Linked DNA regions of Saccharomyces cerevisiae S288C. The protein of the gene in region 4 interacts with the protein of the main gene of each other region in a biochemical or structural test. Each region holds a gene or a part of one and is shown on either strand. Other genes may lie near its edges. The genes, in order: ROG3, LDB19, MF(ALPHA)1 and STE2.

The links.
Region 1: the proteins of STE2 (region 4) and ROG3 form a complex in vitro, tested with the Saccharomyces cerevisiae proteins (one study listed by BioGRID).
Region 2: the proteins of STE2 (region 4) and LDB19 form a complex in vitro, tested with the Saccharomyces cerevisiae proteins (one study listed by BioGRID).
Region 3: the proteins of STE2 (region 4) and MF(ALPHA)1 form a complex in vitro, tested with the Saccharomyces cerevisiae proteins (one study listed by BioGRID).

The regions. Positions count from the first base shown.
Region 1 is NC_001138.5:195,294-200,082, reverse strand, and holds ROG3 (Rog3p), read right to left. Parts: upstream 3,251-4,789; coding exon 1,049-3,250; downstream 1-1,048. Other genes in the region: PES4 (Pes4p), read right to left, coding at 1-209; phosphoinositide binding protein ATG18, read right to left, coding at 3,769-4,789. UniProt on the Saccharomyces cerevisiae protein: Involved in resistance to GST substrate o-dinitrobenzene (o-DNB).
Region 2 is NC_001147.6:918,030-923,342, reverse strand, and holds LDB19 (Ldb19p), read left to right. Parts: upstream 1-2,280; coding exon 2,281-4,737; downstream 4,738-5,313. Other genes in the region: FRT1 (Frt1p), read left to right, coding at 1-111; PRO2 (glutamate-5-semialdehyde dehydrogenase), read left to right, coding at 438-1,808; dolichyl-phosphate-mannose-protein mannosyltransferase PMT3, read right to left, coding at 5,052-5,313. UniProt on the Saccharomyces cerevisiae protein: May be involved in protein-linked oligosaccharide phosphorylation since the deletion reduces the negative charge of the cell surface.
Region 3 is NC_001148.4:191,199-194,707, reverse strand, and holds MF(ALPHA)1 (Mf(Alpha)1p), read right to left. Parts: upstream 1,061-3,509; coding exon 563-1,060; downstream 1-562. Other genes in the region: UIP4 (Uip4p), read left to right, coding at 1-196; POS5 (NADH kinase), read right to left, coding at 2,058-3,302. UniProt on the Saccharomyces cerevisiae protein: The active factor is excreted into the culture medium by haploid cells of the alpha mating type and acts on cells of the opposite mating type (type A).
Region 4 is NC_001138.5:80,138-84,457, forward strand, and holds STE2 (alpha-factor pheromone receptor STE2), read left to right. Parts: upstream 1-2,442; coding exon 2,443-3,738; downstream 3,739-4,320. Other genes in the region: putative ATP-binding cassette family ATPase CAF16, read right to left, coding at 1-76; GTPase-activating protein GYP8, read right to left, coding at 282-1,775; BST1 (Bst1p), read right to left, coding at 4,008-4,320. UniProt on the Saccharomyces cerevisiae protein: Fungal class D1 G-protein-coupled receptor that acts as an alpha-factor pheromone receptor performing pheromone-dependent signal transduction involved in cellular conjugation, mating projection assembly, and in cell fusion.

The DNA.
Region 1 (4,789 bases), 110 kb from region 4:
ATTCTCAAAAATTCAGGTGAATCAGAATGGCTCGAACTTGACGATCTGGATGTTTTTTCGTGGTAGTCGTCTGGCCTAATAGGAGTAACTACGGGGTTAAATGATATTTTCTTTTCTTGATCTTTTTTTACTTTCAAATCCTGGTTTTTCAAAATATTCAGGGGAACCATACTGAGTATAGAAGGTTTTTTGTTTGAAATAGAATACATGTTTCCTCTTGTAGGTTGAAATTTTTTTTGTGATACTGATTCTCTCGTTATTATTGGTTCGTTCAATTAATGAATAATTAGTTTGATTATTTTCCTCTTTATTTGACCTTAGGAACAGTTTTTAAGGTATACTCTGAACTGCAAATTTTTGTCATAACTCTTGGTAATCAAGGCTAGAAGTGTACTATTTTTGCTTTCTGCACAAGGCTTTTTCTTCGGTACGACACAAAAACAACTATTGTGTCGCAGTCCATAGAAGGAGCAAGAAAAAAGAATGTCTTTAAAGGCGAATGTGATTCTATGCTTTCTAGTACCTACTGTGCCGAATAATGTGTAAGTCTCAAAATTCTTTTCTTCCAAAGCATATCCATAATATTTACCTTACGCTGGGTATTTTTTTTTTGGTCACTCCAGATCTAGTTTTTTAAAACTTGATCCCAACGTAACTAAATATAAACAAGACAAAGCTCGAAATAATATAATGTAATTTAGCGAATGTAGTGTTTATATCACCACATTTGGAGAATGTACAATGAATAGTTTCTCTGTCTCTAATGGAATAAGAATTTAATTTCAAGATTTAATTACTTTATGGTGGACCATTTATCTTATGATATCTAGCAAATCAAAGGATCCCTCAAACTGAAAACCAATAGCAGGATCGACCTGACTCTTTTCAACAATGCAGTGGATTTTTTTGAACTTATACTGCCGCACGCCAAACATTGCATTTATCCCTTTTTCTTTAAAATGCCAGTTAGAGTGCGTAAATGCTATATACATCACTTTCTATATGAAACTATACAAGCTTAATGCACGAGCCGAAACAATATCGGCGACTATCGTTTGTTACCCTTTGATAGAAAACCTCCCATAAACCCAGCTAAAGAAGTAGCCCTCCGTCTTGTTGGTGACCTTTTCATACTATTACTGGATGGGTTATTCGAAGTTTTCGAAGTTAACTCATTAAGTGTATTAAGAGATACCCCACTAGAACTACTTCTAGAGCCATTAATTATGGAAATAGGGGAAGCAGTGCTACTCATAAAACTAGAGGAATGAAAGCTAGTTGGTATAGAAGATGACAATGTTGTCGAAGAGTTCCTGGAATGTACCCTACTGGGTTTTCTTGGTTGCACATTTTGTATCGCACAAGGGTAGGAAGGAGGAAGGTCCTCACCAATGATATCATATTTCATTGCCTTGCCATACGATGGAACCTTGTTCAGGTTTTGAGTCTCTGGATAATTTAAGCCCGAGGGCACTGGTAACACTTCATGGGCTGACACGCTTGGGGCTGGGGATCTTGAAAGTAAAACAGGTGATACGTTACTATGTACTCCTGGCACAGAGCCACTATTGGGACCAAGAGCACTCTGAGGTAAGATTCTCTCCGTGCCATCCTCTGGTGCTGGAACGTTTAGTAATGGAGATAGCGATCTGGAAGCGGCAGCAGACGAGGCAGACGGTGGTAGCCCTAGATTGTCACGTTGATTTCTAATTTTTGTCAACCGTATACGTAAATCTTCTAAATCCTGTTGCTGATCCTCGACAGTCGAACATTCGCTTCCCAAAGGAGTACATGTTCCAGACGTTTCCACAGCCGTGCGAGTGAAAGAACCGCTATAAAGACGATCATATACGTGCATTTCATAATTTGGGGGCGTCATCAAGTCTGAAATGGTAGGAACAGAGCCACCGCTACGCATATCCGCTAATAATTCCAACCCTGTGACTGATGCTGATCTAGAAAACAGATATTCCTCTTCCTCTTCTTGTGATGAGTTTTCGTCTTTCTGGTTAGTGGTGCTAAAAAGCGAATACAAATTCGAGGATGACAATGGTTTTATTGAAAGTGCCACAAATGGTGAAATAAAAAGTTGAATCGGTAAGGACGCTCTTAACTCAGATTTATGACCATCTGGGTTAATTAGGATGATGAAAAATTTGAGCTTATGGCGAACCTTAATGTTAGAGCGGACATCACAATCTTGCACACAGTTTGATAAGCTGTTCGGGATTTGCAGGATGGTATCAATCTCCCACTTGTCTTGGAATGAATGATCAGGCTGAAAAAAGGGGTTATTTACAAAGCAACCATTACCATTAAATTCTCCAGATGACTCGTTCAAGGGATCTTCAAGATTTAGTTCTGTCACTTGCCTATTTTCAGAAATTACTGGAGGGAAGGGGTCACAATATTGATAATTCTCAAATAATACGACTTTGATTGAGCCCAATTTCAAACCTTTCGAAAGAGGTACAATGGAAATATTTATAGGGGTGGCTGAACCAATAGCTACGGCTTTGTTGGGTACTGAAATAGAATAATCCACTTTGTCGGGCCATGAGTTATCTACACAAACAGTTTCTGATAACTCCACTGCTGCGGGTGAAATGGTTCTCAGAACTCTAATATTTTTCCTACAGATCAAATCACTATAATTTTTGCTGCGTTCAATAACGGATTCCATGCTATATGTCACGAAGCAATTTGGCAAAGATTCTACGCTCTCTGGTAACGAACCAGGCAAAATAGCACTAAAGGGAAAATCGTAGTTGCCCTTATCTAAAGTACATGAAGAGGGTGAGGAGGACCCCTTTAAAGACTTCAAGGAACTTGTGGACTGAGCTCTTTGGCGAGTGCCCAAGATATTACTTGATGAGCTACTGCCCGCAAGGCCAGATTGCCCTCTTAAACCACTCAGATACTCCTTGAGGTTAACATTATCCCATGCGTAATTATAAAAAACTTTGTTGTACTTTCTGATCTTTGGCGGCGATGAAGACAACGACGAAGAACTAGCGTCCTGGGGCCTCTCTAATGGTACGTCTATTTGTATCTTCCCATAAAGTCTCAATGATATGCTTTTGATCTGCATGGGTTCGTTAATCGATAAAACGATGCAACCAGATAAAAGCACCGAGGGGGCCTCGTTTGGAGGACCTTTGAGGAGTATTACATCGTTGTCAACATTTTTAAGTCTGATATCGAAAAGCAGAGGCTTTTTCTTAGTTGATTTACCGCTACTGAAGCCCATGTCGAACTTTTTGTATTTTTATTTTGCTAAGAGAGCTGCCTCTATGTAGCAACAATAGATATTGGCTCTTTATCAACGCCAATTATATAAACGAAAATAGCAAAAGGGTTTATACGCACTTTAAAACACCCTGATTCATCTATTAGCCGTATAGAGAATATACCGCATCACAAGTGATTTACCCGCGTGAAGTTAACTCTTCCGAGGAATCAAATACCAACTGATCCAAATTCGTAATCAACAGGGCTAAGCCGGAAGGAGGCTTCGTAGCGTAGTAACGTCACTCCAGTGATCCTTTTTCGACAAACAAATACTCGATCCATGAAAGCCATTTTTTTGAATTTTTATATCGAAAATTTCCCCTTTAGGCGAGTTCTATTGTTTTAAATAAAAACACCGCAACAAGATAATGGTGACGAAAATATTATGCAAAAGGATAGATTATACGCAGGAGTTTATATAAACTATATTGTGTATGCGTTGTGACGTACGGAAGGCAGCGCGAGACACTTCCGTGATCAATCCATCAAGATGGAATACTGTGACAATATTAAGCAATCGCCGCCTCTCTCCGGGTCCATAACAAAGTTGTATAGGTATCCATCCGAGGAAACGACCCTGATGGGGACCATCTTCATAACAGGCTCATGGTAGGACTCTGTACTTGCGGAATTGCCAGTTTCGAAGAGTTCCGGATACTCGGATGTGTCTATATCTATTGGAGAGCCTATACTTGATATGGTCATTACATGGGAATTGGTTTCAACGGGAAGTTTCAAAGACGCAAAATGGCGCGAGGATTCCAACAACGATGTAACTTTGATGGGGAAAATCTGACCCAATGTTCTGGCAGCTCTTCGGGATAGCTTTTGAGAAGAGTAACGTATCATCCTACCCATTGTCTTTCTTGATGCATCCACATATGGTTCTCTTGCGAGTCTTGTCGGGTTTTCCTCGTCACTCAGCGCATCGATACTGGTGGTATCGAGCGATGAATCATCGGCTGCAGCTTCTTCCATGTTGCTATCATCGCTGTCTAGTTTATTGTTGCTCATTGAATGCCCCAATTTGAAGATATGCACGGTTTTGGAAGAGCCGGTAACCGCCAAGTACTGGCTATCTTCACTGAATGATATGGAGTAAATTCTTGTCGCGTACGTCCCTCTCCTGAATTGGTAGATCTTATCACCCGTTTCAATGTCAAAGACCCTGATGATAGTACCTTTATCAGAGGCGGTAGCCATTAGTGTCCCATCAAAACTAATTGCCATTGCAGCAATCTCGCCCTTATGAGCTTCGATGACCATGGTTGGCTGTAATGTTTCCAAGTTGAATACGATCACATCACCATTCTTTATTATACTGCTGTTACCGCCGTTACTGCTTGTTGGATCCGCATCATCCCTCTTAGTAAAGCTCGAATACTGATCCAAGTCGCTAATGTCACTATGGCCAGCATCTTGCTGATCTCTCTTGAAACTGGTCTCTGTGTTGCCACCAACTGACAATGTGATATTGTTTGTGGTGGCATGAGCTTTA
Region 2 (5,313 bases), on a different chromosome or scaffold from region 4:
AAATCCATCTACCTGTATAGGTATTTCATCATTGACATTATTGCATTTCTTTTGATGGGCGGCTTTATCGTTTACGTCAAGAATTTGTTAACTCGTTTTTTTACTCGTTAAAAAGTCAAAACAAGGTCACTTTACAAAAATGGTACGCGTACAAAGATAAAATCACCTCTGAACATAATAATATACATCTATATACATATATATATATATATATATCACACATCAATCAACGCGCATGGACATTTGAATCAATGGGGCAGGAAAGGCGATGCAGTGGCCAAATTTCTTTGTTCATTTGTGGCGTTGGGTCAATGAGTCAAAAAATGAAAAAAGTCGACAGACGTTTTTCAAAAAGCTTCAAGAAAAGAAGAGAAAAAGTAAAAGCGTATTGGTAAAAAGAGTAAGAACAAAAAGGAGCACAGGCAACCAATATAAAGATGTCCAGTTCACAACAAATAGCCAAAAATGCCCGTAAAGCAGGGAATATTTTGAAAACCATCTCAAACGAGGGCAGATCAGATATTTTATACAAAATTCACGATGCCCTGAAGGCTAATGCGCATGCCATTGAAGAAGCGAATAAAATCGATTTAGCTGTTGCCAAAGAGACTGGCCTAGCGGATTCTTTATTGAAACGTCTCGACCTATTTAAAGGGGACAAATTTGAAGTTATGTTACAAGGTATTAAGGATGTAGCCGAACTAGAAGACCCTGTTGGCAAGGTTAAAATGGCCAGGGAATTAGATGATGGCTTGACGTTGTACCAAGTAACCGCTCCAGTCGGCGTTTTGTTAGTTATCTTTGAATCCCGTCCAGAAGTTATTGCCAATATTACCGCATTGAGTATCAAGTCTGGTAATGCTGCAATTTTGAAGGGTGGTAAAGAGTCTGTGAACACGTTCAGAGAAATGGCAAAGATCGTTAACGACACCATTGCACAATTCCAAAGTGAGACTGGTGTTCCTGTGGGCTCTGTGCAATTGATCGAAACCAGACAGGATGTTTCCGACTTGTTGGATCAAGATGAGTACATCGACTTAGTTGTTCCTCGTGGTTCCAATGCCTTAGTCAGAAAAATCAAGGACACTACAAAAATTCCCGTGTTGGGTCATGCGGATGGTATCTGCTCAATTTACTTGGATGAAGACGCAGATTTGATTAAGGCAAAAAGAATTAGTTTGGATGCAAAGACTAACTACCCAGCTGGTTGCAACGCTATGGAAACGTTGTTGATTAACCCAAAATTCTCTAAGTGGTGGGAAGTTCTGGAAAACTTAACTTTGGAAGGCGGAGTGACTATCCACGCTACAAAAGATTTGAAAACTGCGTATTTTGATAAACTGAATGAGTTAGGGAAATTGACAGAAGCAATTCAATGCAAAACCGTTGATGCTGATGAGGAGCAAGATTTTGATAAGGAATTTTTATCCTTGGATTTGGCTGCCAAGTTTGTTACATCTACAGAATCGGCCATTCAACATATAAATACACACTCTTCGAGACATACCGACGCTATTGTAACGGAAAATAAAGCAAACGCTGAAAAATTTATGAAGGGTGTCGACTCCTCTGGTGTTTACTGGAATGCATCAACTAGATTTGCCGATGGTTTCAGGTACGGTTTTGGTGCTGAAGTGGGTATTTCTACCTCTAAGATTCACGCCCGTGGTCCAGTTGGCTTGGACGGTCTGGTGAGTTATCAATACCAAATAAGAGGTGACGGCCAGGTTGCTAGTGACTACCTTGGTGCTGGTGGTAACAAAGCTTTTGTTCACAAGGATTTAGATATAAAGACTGTGACATTATAAAAATTTTTAGGATAAAGCTAAGTTCCATGTATGAAGGACGTGTATACATAGTTCAGTAAAGCCATCAAATAAGTACTCTTGTCAACTCATTCTATGGTGTGATAGTTAATTGCTTACTTGTATCGCTATTAACGACTTTTTTTTTCTTTTGGCGGAAGCTTCAAGACAAAAATGCGATTTGAGCTGACTCGAACACTTATTAAACCAGACGGAAAAGCACGACTCATACATATCATAGGCAGTTTTTACTAGGGCTCCGAATACTTTGAATAATAAGGTTGATTAAGTTTGTGTGCTTCATCCAATTAGCTTTCAGTTTTCCTTATTTAAGCTTCTGATTTCGGAATCAAAAGTTGAGCAACGTTATAGCTTGCTTTTTCGGAGGAGAACGCTGTTGTTCACATTTCAACACCAGAAATTGCTGATTTTTACTCCTACTTAGTATACATTTCACTAAACAATACGTTTTACCATGGCATTTTCACGTCTTACATCTACTCATCAGTCCAATCATAACGGCTACAGTAATAGCAACAAAAAAGGACAAAGTCTTCCACTAACCCTTTCTATTGATGTAGAATCACCGCCATGTGTTCTTTATGGGTCTGCTATGGAATCCTCAGGTGCTGTGCTAAGTGGACTTTTTACTGTGACGGTTGTCGATCCCTACAGTAGTGCTGAAGATAAATCTTTAAAGAATACAGAATCTAATGTGTCGACTACTTCTAAAAGCCTAAAAAGAAAGAGTACATTTGGTTCTGCACTTTCATCTAGATTGTCCAGCTTGTCAGCGTCGACGTCAAATATCTCTCCTTCAACATCTTCTACATCCATATCGCATTCTCCCACGCCTGCTAATTTAAGAATAATGGCTGGTTATACCAAGATCACCATTACGTCGGTAACACTAAGTTTGGTACAGAAGATCCATTTCCATAAACCCTTTGTGCCTAATATTTCCTCAATGCAAACCTGTATGAACTGTAAAACAAAGATTACAAACATGAAAAGCTGGGAAATTCAGAGTAATACCCAGGATCTTTCTGTTGGAAGCCACTCTTACCCATTTTCCTATCTTATACCGGGGTCTGTCCCATGTTCTTCATCGCTAGGTGCTACGGCTGAAACCCAGGTCAAATACGAACTTATCGCTGTTGTGACGTATATAGATCCTCATAGAAATTCCTTTTCTTCCGGTCATTCTACTCCCAGGAAAGAAGGAAGCTCTTCTAAGAAGCGGTTGTTGCAACTAGCGATGCCCATCGCCGTGACTCGAAGTATACCGCGCGGGCCTGATAAGAATTCTCTAAGAGTATTTCCTCCTACAGAGTTAACTGCTGCTGCTGTTCTTCCTAATGTTGTATATCCTAAATCTACTTTTCCTTTGGAGATGAAATTAGACGGTGTTTCTTCGGGGGATAGGAGATGGCGAATGCGTAAATTGAGTTGGAGAATTGAAGAAACTACAAGAGTTAAAGCACATGCTTGTCCAGTGCACAAGCATGAATTGAGGCAGTTAGAAGAGCAGGTTAAAATAAAAGAGTCAGAAAAAAGTAAAAAGCCACGCAGTCATATTAAGCGTTATGGTGAACTAGGCCCACAAATCCGGGTTGCAGTAAACTCTTTAGAAAATATGCCGTCGCAAAGGCTTCCAGGCGAGCCCGGTCGTGAACAAGCACCTAATTCTTCGGGTCCAGCGTCAACTGGTAATGTTGGACTTGATGATGAAAATCCTGTTAATGAAGATGAGGAAGACCAACCCGGTAGCGAATTCATCCATCCCAGTGACGACGCTTTGCGTCAGGAGTTACTAATGCAGCAACAACGCGCAAGACAACAACAACTTCAACAAGAGCTAAAAAACAACAGTAGTTTATTTACGGAAGAGGTTCGGATAATATCTAAGGGAGAAATGAAGAGTGGATGGAAAACCGATTTTGACAATAATGGAAAGATTGAGCTAGTTACAGAAATAGATTGTATGGGACTTAATTCAGGCGTCTCTAATCCGGTAATGCATGCATCGACACTACAAACTCCTTCCACGGGCAATAAGAAGCCCAGCATCAATGTGGCTTGCGATATACAGGATCCAAATTTAGGTTTGTATGTAAGCCACATCTTGGCAGTGGAAATAGTTGTTGCAGAAGAAACATTGCAATATGCCAATGGGCAACCTATACGGAAACCAAACTCCAAAAACAAGAAAGAAACTAATAACAATACGATGAATGTTCATAATCCTGATCAACGCTTAGCTGAATTATCTCCAATTTTTGCAAATAGAAATACACCGAAAGTACGGCGCATGGGGCCTGAAGATATAACACCGGTGAATAGTAATAAGTCCAACCATAGTACTAATAAGGAGAAGGCATCTAACGGTGCTAGTAACTCTAATATAGTGAGTGTTCCCACTGGTGCAGCACGTGTTTTAAGAATGCAATTCAGATTAACAGTCACTGAAAGATCTGGACTTGGAATCTCCTGGGACGAAGAAGTTCCTCCCATTTACCAAGATGTCGAGTTGCTCTCGCCACCATGTTACGAGCTCTCTATAAATAATGGAATCAAAAATAAACTTTATTCAACAATGAGTACTCCTGTTAGATCAGAGGATGATTTTGTGGGCGGCAGCGATGAAGATATTGGGAACTATGAGAGCCAAGGGCTCGAACCTGGTCCTAACGTACAGGAAGTAACGATCACACAAAATAAATTAACGATACCACCAACCGCACATCACTACCAGCCTGCTTCCTCTTCGCAAAGATCCCTTACCACAGTACAGTCACCACCACTGGAAAGTGTTGTTAGTGTCCAGGGTAGTGTACCTTTTCGTGGACATGTGTTGACACCACATAGCACAAGAGATATCAGAATACAAAACTTTTCCGATTTTCTAGATTCCAATAGAATAACCCAGTAGATTTTATAATATTCGTTAAAGGTATTTACCATATATTTTTATCTTAGATACCTGAAAACTACAAATCTGATCAATAAGCAAACCCTGACCATGATTTGATGCATTTCACAGATAACTACATACAGGCATTGTTTAACACTTGAGCATTTTTTTTCTCGTATTTTCTTAAGGCTGGACTGGATTAATATCTTCATTTCGTCGTAGGTACATAGCTTTGTTATGATAAAGAAGAAGGCATAAGTCGAAAAAGATATTTCGCGCATCAATTAACATTTTTTGTGTGGTGAAGAAAAGTTTTTGATCATTCTATATATCTATGTGTTACGTATATCTTCAACAATCTGCCACGTAGGTAGCCATGCCAAGTACGCGTAATCATCTACTGGACCATCCATCCCAAAACTAAAAGGAGAGAAATAAAAAAATCCAGCGATCACGATTGATCCGTATACAATATAAGCTCCTAGCCTTAGAAATTTTCCAGTGTTTCTTGTAGCCCAACGTTTGGTAATCATATCGAAGTAGTATGACAAGATCATTAAGGCAAAATAAAGGGTGGGCAGATAGTGGTGAGCG
Region 3 (3,509 bases), on a different chromosome or scaffold from region 4:
TATGTCCGAACAAGAAGAAATACAGAAAATAGATAAACCCGCCGATCAAAACGCTAAGTCAATTGTAAAAGAAGGCGATGCCAATACTGAAGATTATGAAAGTGTTTTGAAAAAGCTACTGGGAGCGTTAGGACGCTTTTTTGGCTCATGGTTTTCTTGGTTGACAACGAAAATGTCAAGCTCAGAGGCATCATAATCAGGGAGTGTATTTTTTTTCGTTGTCGTTATCCTCTTTGTATTTTACGCTGTTGAATTCTCTTAGGATTCGATTCACATTCATCTTTTTTTAGCTACTAATAGGATAAATTATAGGAATTTATAACAAATTGAAATATGGCAGGCAGCAAAATTAAAATTGTCTTAGTTTTTTAGTGTATAGAAGTGAATAGCTATATAAAGTATGTGTAAAGTTGGTAACGGAACGAAAAATAGAAAAGGATATTACATGGGAAAACATGTTGTTTACGGAGAAATGAAAAGTATATTGTATTTTGTACGAGCTAAAAGTACAGTGGGAACAAAGTCGACTTTGTTACATCTACACTGTTGTTATCAGTCGGGCTTAGTACATTGGTTGGCCGGGTTTTAACTGCAACCAATGCCAAGCTTCAGCGTCGGCTTCTCTTTTGTACATTGGTTGGCCAGGCTTTAGTTGCAGCCAATGCCAAGCTTCAGCGTCGGCTTCTCTTTTGTACATTGGTTGGCCAGGCTTTAGTTGCAGCCAATGCCAAGCTTCAGCTTCGGCTTCTCTCTTGTACATTGGTTGGCCAGGTTTTAGTTGCAACCAATGCCAAGCTTCAGCCTCTCTTTTATCCAAAGATACCCCTTCTTCTTTAGCAGCAATGCTGGCAATAGTAGTATTTATAAACAATAACCCGTTATTTGTGCTGTTGGAAAATGGCAAAACAGCAACATCGAAATCCCCTTCTAAATCTAAGTAACCGATGACAGCTTCAGCCGGAATTTGTGCCGTTTCATCTTCTGTTGTAGTGTTGACTGGAGCAGCTAATGCGGAGGATGCTGCGAATAAAACTGCAGTAAAAATTGAAGGAAATCTCATTCTTTTAATCGTTTATATTGTGTATGAAATTGATAGTTTGTAATCTTCTTGTTTGAACTATTCTTGAATCGTAAATGAATCGTAAGAACAGTAACATTTTTGATGGGAACAAAAGGCCCTCTTATATATGTACTTATCCAAAACCTGTTGTTGCTTTTTGGTTTTCTTGCACTTCAATACAATTGAAGTAAGGCTCACTTGAATATTATGTGTTTGATAAATGAGATGCATCTTTTCACATGGTCCACTGTTTTTCAGTAGAAGCTATTAAATTCGGCAAAATTTACTGTCGTTGATGGCCTAATTAGGAAGGTGTTCATAAAAAAAAGGAATACAGATGTTCTATTGAAGGACTAATTAGGAAAGTTAATTGGATTTTGTTAAATAATTGCACAAATAGTTGTTGGATATTGCATCAGAATTATGCAGATTACCAAAGAGAACGGGATGTCTATTTAGCGCATTTATTCCTAATTCGGAAATTATTGAAATCCACACTACTTAATAGTGCTGCACCATTTATCTCATAATTATTGCCTACGCTAATGAAAGCAAATCTTATTCCGACTTCAAATTGGATCTCTCCTCAAGAAAAGAAGCTCAATGACCTATTAGAGTATGAATACTTGTAAAACAAATGAACAGCGAGTGCTTGTTTAACTTTTTTTTTTTTTTTTTTTTGATTTTAGGAATTGATACGAAACATAGTCTCTCTCCATTTTCTCCCACAACAGGACTGCAGTAAGGATGTTATTATTAATAATATATATATTATATAATTATATCTTCTTGTTAAGCATGTCTTCCCTATATGTCACAGTTTTCTTAAAGCAATAGAATAAAAGACACAATACCAAAAATTTCATGTCGAGTATGTCAGTTGAGATTTCTCTAGACAAAATGCAAGAAAAAATAAAGATCTCTACTTGTCAAATACCTTTAAATCTTATCAATAGAATTCTTAGAGAATCTCATTGAATCTTTGCATTCAGAGCGTTTAATCATTATCAGTCTGTCTCTTGGTCAGCCTAAAGCTAGAATTGAATCCTAAAAGTTCATTGATTCCTCTAATCCAGTCATTCTCGGTCTTGGCGACACAATAAATCCCTGACCTTTTAGGCTTTTTTGAATTATTAAAGTCATTTTCAGTTTTTCTTGTCGTCGGAAGCTGAGTACCATCTATGTATATAGTGCCGACCTCATTTATAACATAAATTTCATCACCAACATCTAAATCCTGTTGAGGAATACCATCAACAGAAAGTTTTACCACACTGTTGACTGGTTTTTGGTTCAATTTGGAACCTATCTTTATCCTAATGTGGGATGAATGAGGCAAAATCAGTGGTCGGAATGACAAAGAGCGAGGACAAATTGGTGTCATTAAAATAGCAGGGACTAATGGGGAAACAATAGATCCACCTGCTGATAATGAATATGCTGTGGAACCCGTTGGAGTGGCCAATGCAACACCATCTGCTGTCGTTCTTGTCAAAAATTCCCCATCAATGAAAATGTCCAGGTTAGTGAGATGAGGGGAATTACCCCTATGTAAGAATATGTCATTCATAGCATGGGTCACAATAGATGAGTTGCTATCCTTTTTTTTCAAATGACATTCTAGCCGTGTTCTATGCAAACATTTGGCTCTAGAGCTGATTACTTCCTGAAAGACCTTTTTATGCTCCTTAAAATCAAACGGTGATAGAAAGCCCAGAGTGCCCAGAGCAAATGCTAAAACCGGAGGAACTTGCGTATTTCCGAACATTGATACGCCGTGTAAAATAGTCCCATCACCTCCCAATGTCACCAATAAGTCTGTTCTGTTTACGATATCTTGTTCAGGACCAGTATAAAGTATATGAGGTCGGTTGGGATCATTCTCCAAAGGAGATTTGAAATCCTGGGAAATTTCTTCTGCCACATCGGGTTGAACAATGACGTTCACCTCGGGGTATGACTCATGTAAATGAGTTATGAATTCAACCATCGCTTCTCTTGTGGATGGAGTCCATGGTTTTTTAGTTATATAAACATTTTGTAAAGGGTTCTGCCAGATTAAAGATTGTAATTTGGAATTTGGTGGGGACACGAAATCTGCTGATGAACTACTCCTCAAGTTATTTACTGGCTTTATTTTTACAAACTTCGAGCCGCTCTGTAACTTTAGGGAATGTGAATCCAACGTACTATAGAACCTATACCATTTTACTGGTTTATTCAATTTAACCCTGACAAACATTTTAATCAGTATCCTTAACCTTTTTATCCTTTTATTTATGAAACAGCGAATAATGAATACTTAGTCTTCTCCTGCCTTTTTTTATTTTTATTTTTTTTTCAATTTGGAGATTTCGGAAAATTGTGAAAATGTGTGAAAAGCACAAAGAAGAGTTGAGAACTGTGGAAGTTTCTTAAAAGTCGCAACTTAGTGATGCATATAGATACA
Region 4 (4,320 bases):
CAACAACTGACGGATCGGAGCTTTCTTTGAATTTGTACGTTAGGTTACGCACCTCAATAGCAAATTGGGAAACCATCTTGAGAGTTATCTAATATCTTGATATCTTATGCAGGAGTACTGGTTTTCTCCATACTAAAAATCTCTCTTTCAGAATTTTCGTTTTTTCTTATTTGAGTCATCCTCGAAGAAATTTCCGCAGCGAATTTTAAAGAAGCACTTTATAATAATACCTTACATATGAGTTTGTTTCTATGTCATGGGTATATAAGGTATATTGTATGCTATCTAGTTGGATGCCCCAGTTTCAAAATGTCCCTAATCGGATCCACCCAGATGTGACTAACGTGGTGCAAATTTATATTTATATGTGATAAGTCTTTCAACTTTGTGGAGATCATGTAACGTAGATTGAGTACTAAACTCAACGACCTTGTAGTCCGTAATTGGTACAGGATAGCTACAATCCCGATAAGTAAAGAAATTTTGCTCCACCTGTTATATTTGGAGGGTAAAAAATGGCCAAGTCTTTGGACCAACGCCCTTGTCTTGGATCTGGCGGCGACACCATGATACTTTTCTTCCTTGTAATGCTCGTTCATCTTTGTTTGTTCGCTCAAATAGAAGATAATGGTGCTCATATCGAAGCATCCTGGCTTTCCACATGCTGTATTGAGTAATGCACTATATTTATTAAGACTCACCCGTTTCAAAGCCTTCTTGCTGGCAGTAGTCGCATCTTTTCTAGTTATTTGCAAGACTTCTTCCCAAAGCGCCTCATCATACAGTTTTTTCTGTAAAACTGTTTGTATAGCACCATGGCGCAGGTCAAAATCGTTCTCGAAGAAATCAGAATTAGCTTCTATTTGCTTCGAAATTTCAGACGCATTTTGCAATAGCAGGTTCTTGTATATGATCAAAGGTAAACGCATAGATTGCATCGATATTGTCATGTCAAATATCTGGAAAAGAATTTTATGAAGATTGTTGTCACCGCTATCTATAGGTTTCAAATTATGTGCAAAGATTGTCAATATTGACCCAATAGCGAAAAGGGGCTCATTTTCGTCAAATTTGAATAGATTATAGAATTTCATGTTTGATTCCTTTATCAATGAAGAGATTACTCTCAATTGCTCAAATGAAAAATCTAGTGAGTTCATCATGAAATCCCTCAGATATAATAGGGTAAATGCTTCGATGCAATAAAACAGCCTTTCCATATCAATTTCTTCTTGCAATGAGAGATTTTCTAGTTCCAGTCCGTTCTCTTTTGTGACATTCCAACTAAAACACATGATGAAAACAGACACAATATCATGATAACCTTGGTAATAGTTCAACGTTGGGTACTTTCTCAATACCCGAGTAATTAACTCCACCAGTAGTTTTCTCAATTGCAGTTTCAAGTTTTTGTCGACAATTCCACCAAAAGACCTTTCTGCATCCAATATCACCTGACCTTCATCTTTATGTTTTTCCACTGGTGTAATGTACTCTGTTGCATCATCAATAAGCAACTGGGACGCCAATAATTCATACCAACAATCTTTTCTTAATGAGTTGTTTACAAACCCCAGAGGCCCTAAACCTATGTACCTCAAAGCTCGGACATCTTTTTTCTCTAATAACTTTGATATAACTTTTCCTTTTTGTTCTTCTGCCTTTCCACTGTCACAACGAGAAAGTGATTCCAGATATGCGTTATAACCTCCCCTTGTCAACGCGTCTTTGTCGTGGCTACTCTGATTAGTATGAAATAATGACCTTAATGGCATCGTATTTTGTTAATTGGCTTGTTCTATGTCATTTGCTAAATTTTCTCTTTATTTCTTTACTTTGCCAATTCAAGATAATCTTCCCTTCCCAGAGAGAAAAAAGGAAAAATTTAGCTATGAAACCTCAATAAGCTTTTTAATACACCAAAGATTCAAGATAAGAGCATAGAACGAACTGTAGAATAGTCCGGATATGTTATCCAATGCCTGCCAAAATGCATTGTCACACGCTGTAGTGCTCGAATAGGTGTTGCAATCCGTCAATATACGTCTTGCTCTGTGGGTAAATGTCTCGTGCATTAAGACAGGCTAGTATAAACGAGAAGAAGTATCCTGCTTTGCAATGAAACAATAGTATCCGCTAAGAATTTAAGCAGGCCAACGTCCATACTGCTTAGGACCTGTGCCTGGCAAGTCGCAGATTGAAGTTTTTTCAACCATGTAAATTTCCTAATTGGGTAAGTACATGATGAAACACATATGAAGAAAAAAGCTTTCCTACATATTCAAGATTTTTTTCTGTGGGTGGAATACTATTTAAGGAGTGCTATTAGTATCTTATTTGACTTCAAAGCAATACGATACCTTTTCTTTTCACCTGCTCTGGCTATAATTATAATTGGTTACTTAAAAATGCACCGTTAAGAACCATATCCAAGAATCAAAAATGTCTGATGCGGCTCCTTCATTGAGCAATCTATTTTATGATCCAACGTATAATCCTGGTCAAAGCACCATTAACTACACTTCCATATATGGGAATGGATCTACCATCACTTTCGATGAGTTGCAAGGTTTAGTTAACAGTACTGTTACTCAGGCCATTATGTTTGGTGTCAGATGTGGTGCAGCTGCTTTGACTTTGATTGTCATGTGGATGACATCGAGAAGCAGAAAAACGCCGATTTTCATTATCAACCAAGTTTCATTGTTTTTAATCATTTTGCATTCTGCACTCTATTTTAAATATTTACTGTCTAATTACTCTTCAGTGACTTACGCTCTCACCGGATTTCCTCAGTTCATCAGTAGAGGTGACGTTCATGTTTATGGTGCTACAAATATAATTCAAGTCCTTCTTGTGGCTTCTATTGAGACTTCACTGGTGTTTCAGATAAAAGTTATTTTCACAGGCGACAACTTCAAAAGGATAGGTTTGATGCTGACGTCGATATCTTTCACTTTAGGGATTGCTACAGTTACCATGTATTTTGTAAGCGCTGTTAAAGGTATGATTGTGACTTATAATGATGTTAGTGCCACCCAAGATAAATACTTCAATGCATCCACAATTTTACTTGCATCCTCAATAAACTTTATGTCATTTGTCCTGGTAGTTAAATTGATTTTAGCTATTAGATCAAGAAGATTCCTTGGTCTCAAGCAGTTCGATAGTTTCCATATTTTACTCATAATGTCATGTCAATCTTTGTTGGTTCCATCGATAATATTCATCCTCGCATACAGTTTGAAACCAAACCAGGGAACAGATGTCTTGACTACTGTTGCAACATTACTTGCTGTATTGTCTTTACCATTATCATCAATGTGGGCCACGGCTGCTAATAATGCATCCAAAACAAACACAATTACTTCAGACTTTACAACATCCACAGATAGGTTTTATCCAGGCACGCTGTCTAGCTTTCAAACTGATAGTATCAACAACGATGCTAAAAGCAGTCTCAGAAGTAGATTATATGACCTATATCCTAGAAGGAAGGAAACAACATCGGATAAACATTCGGAAAGAACTTTTGTTTCTGAGACTGCAGATGATATAGAGAAAAATCAGTTTTATCAGTTGCCCACACCTACGAGTTCAAAAAATACTAGGATAGGACCGTTTGCTGATGCAAGTTACAAAGAGGGAGAAGTTGAACCCGTCGACATGTACACTCCCGATACGGCAGCTGATGAGGAAGCCAGAAAGTTCTGGACTGAAGATAATAATAATTTATGATCAAAATTTACGGCTTTGAAAAAGTAATTTCGTGACCTTCGGTATAAGGTTACTACTAGATTCAGGTGCTCATCAGATGCACCACATTCTCTATAAAAAAAAATGGTATCTTTCTTATTTGATAATATTTAAACTCCTTTACATAATAAACATCTCGTAAGTAGTGGTAGAAACCACCTTTGCTTTTACGAGTTCAAGCTTTTTTCTTGCCATGATCTAGAACTCTCAGGCAATATATACAGTTAATCTTTTTTTACTGGGTTGTAGTTCTAATGTATTGTTTCGAAAAATAGCAACCAGGCACATATTATGTTCACCAAGTGGTGTATCCAGTACAGATTTCTTATTCCATAAATGAAACTGAAAACGGTTAAGTACACAAATAAAATGATGGTAACTTTACCATCCCACGTGTCTAAAGGTACGCTGTTTGGCATTTTGAAAATAGAATTATTTCCAACCAAAAAAATAATTGGTGCCACTGCTAGTATATTGTGATGGGATCTAAATGAAGTTTCCCATTTGATGGCAACATTATGCAGGAAAACAATAATGATAGGGATGTTAATGGCACTAACAAAT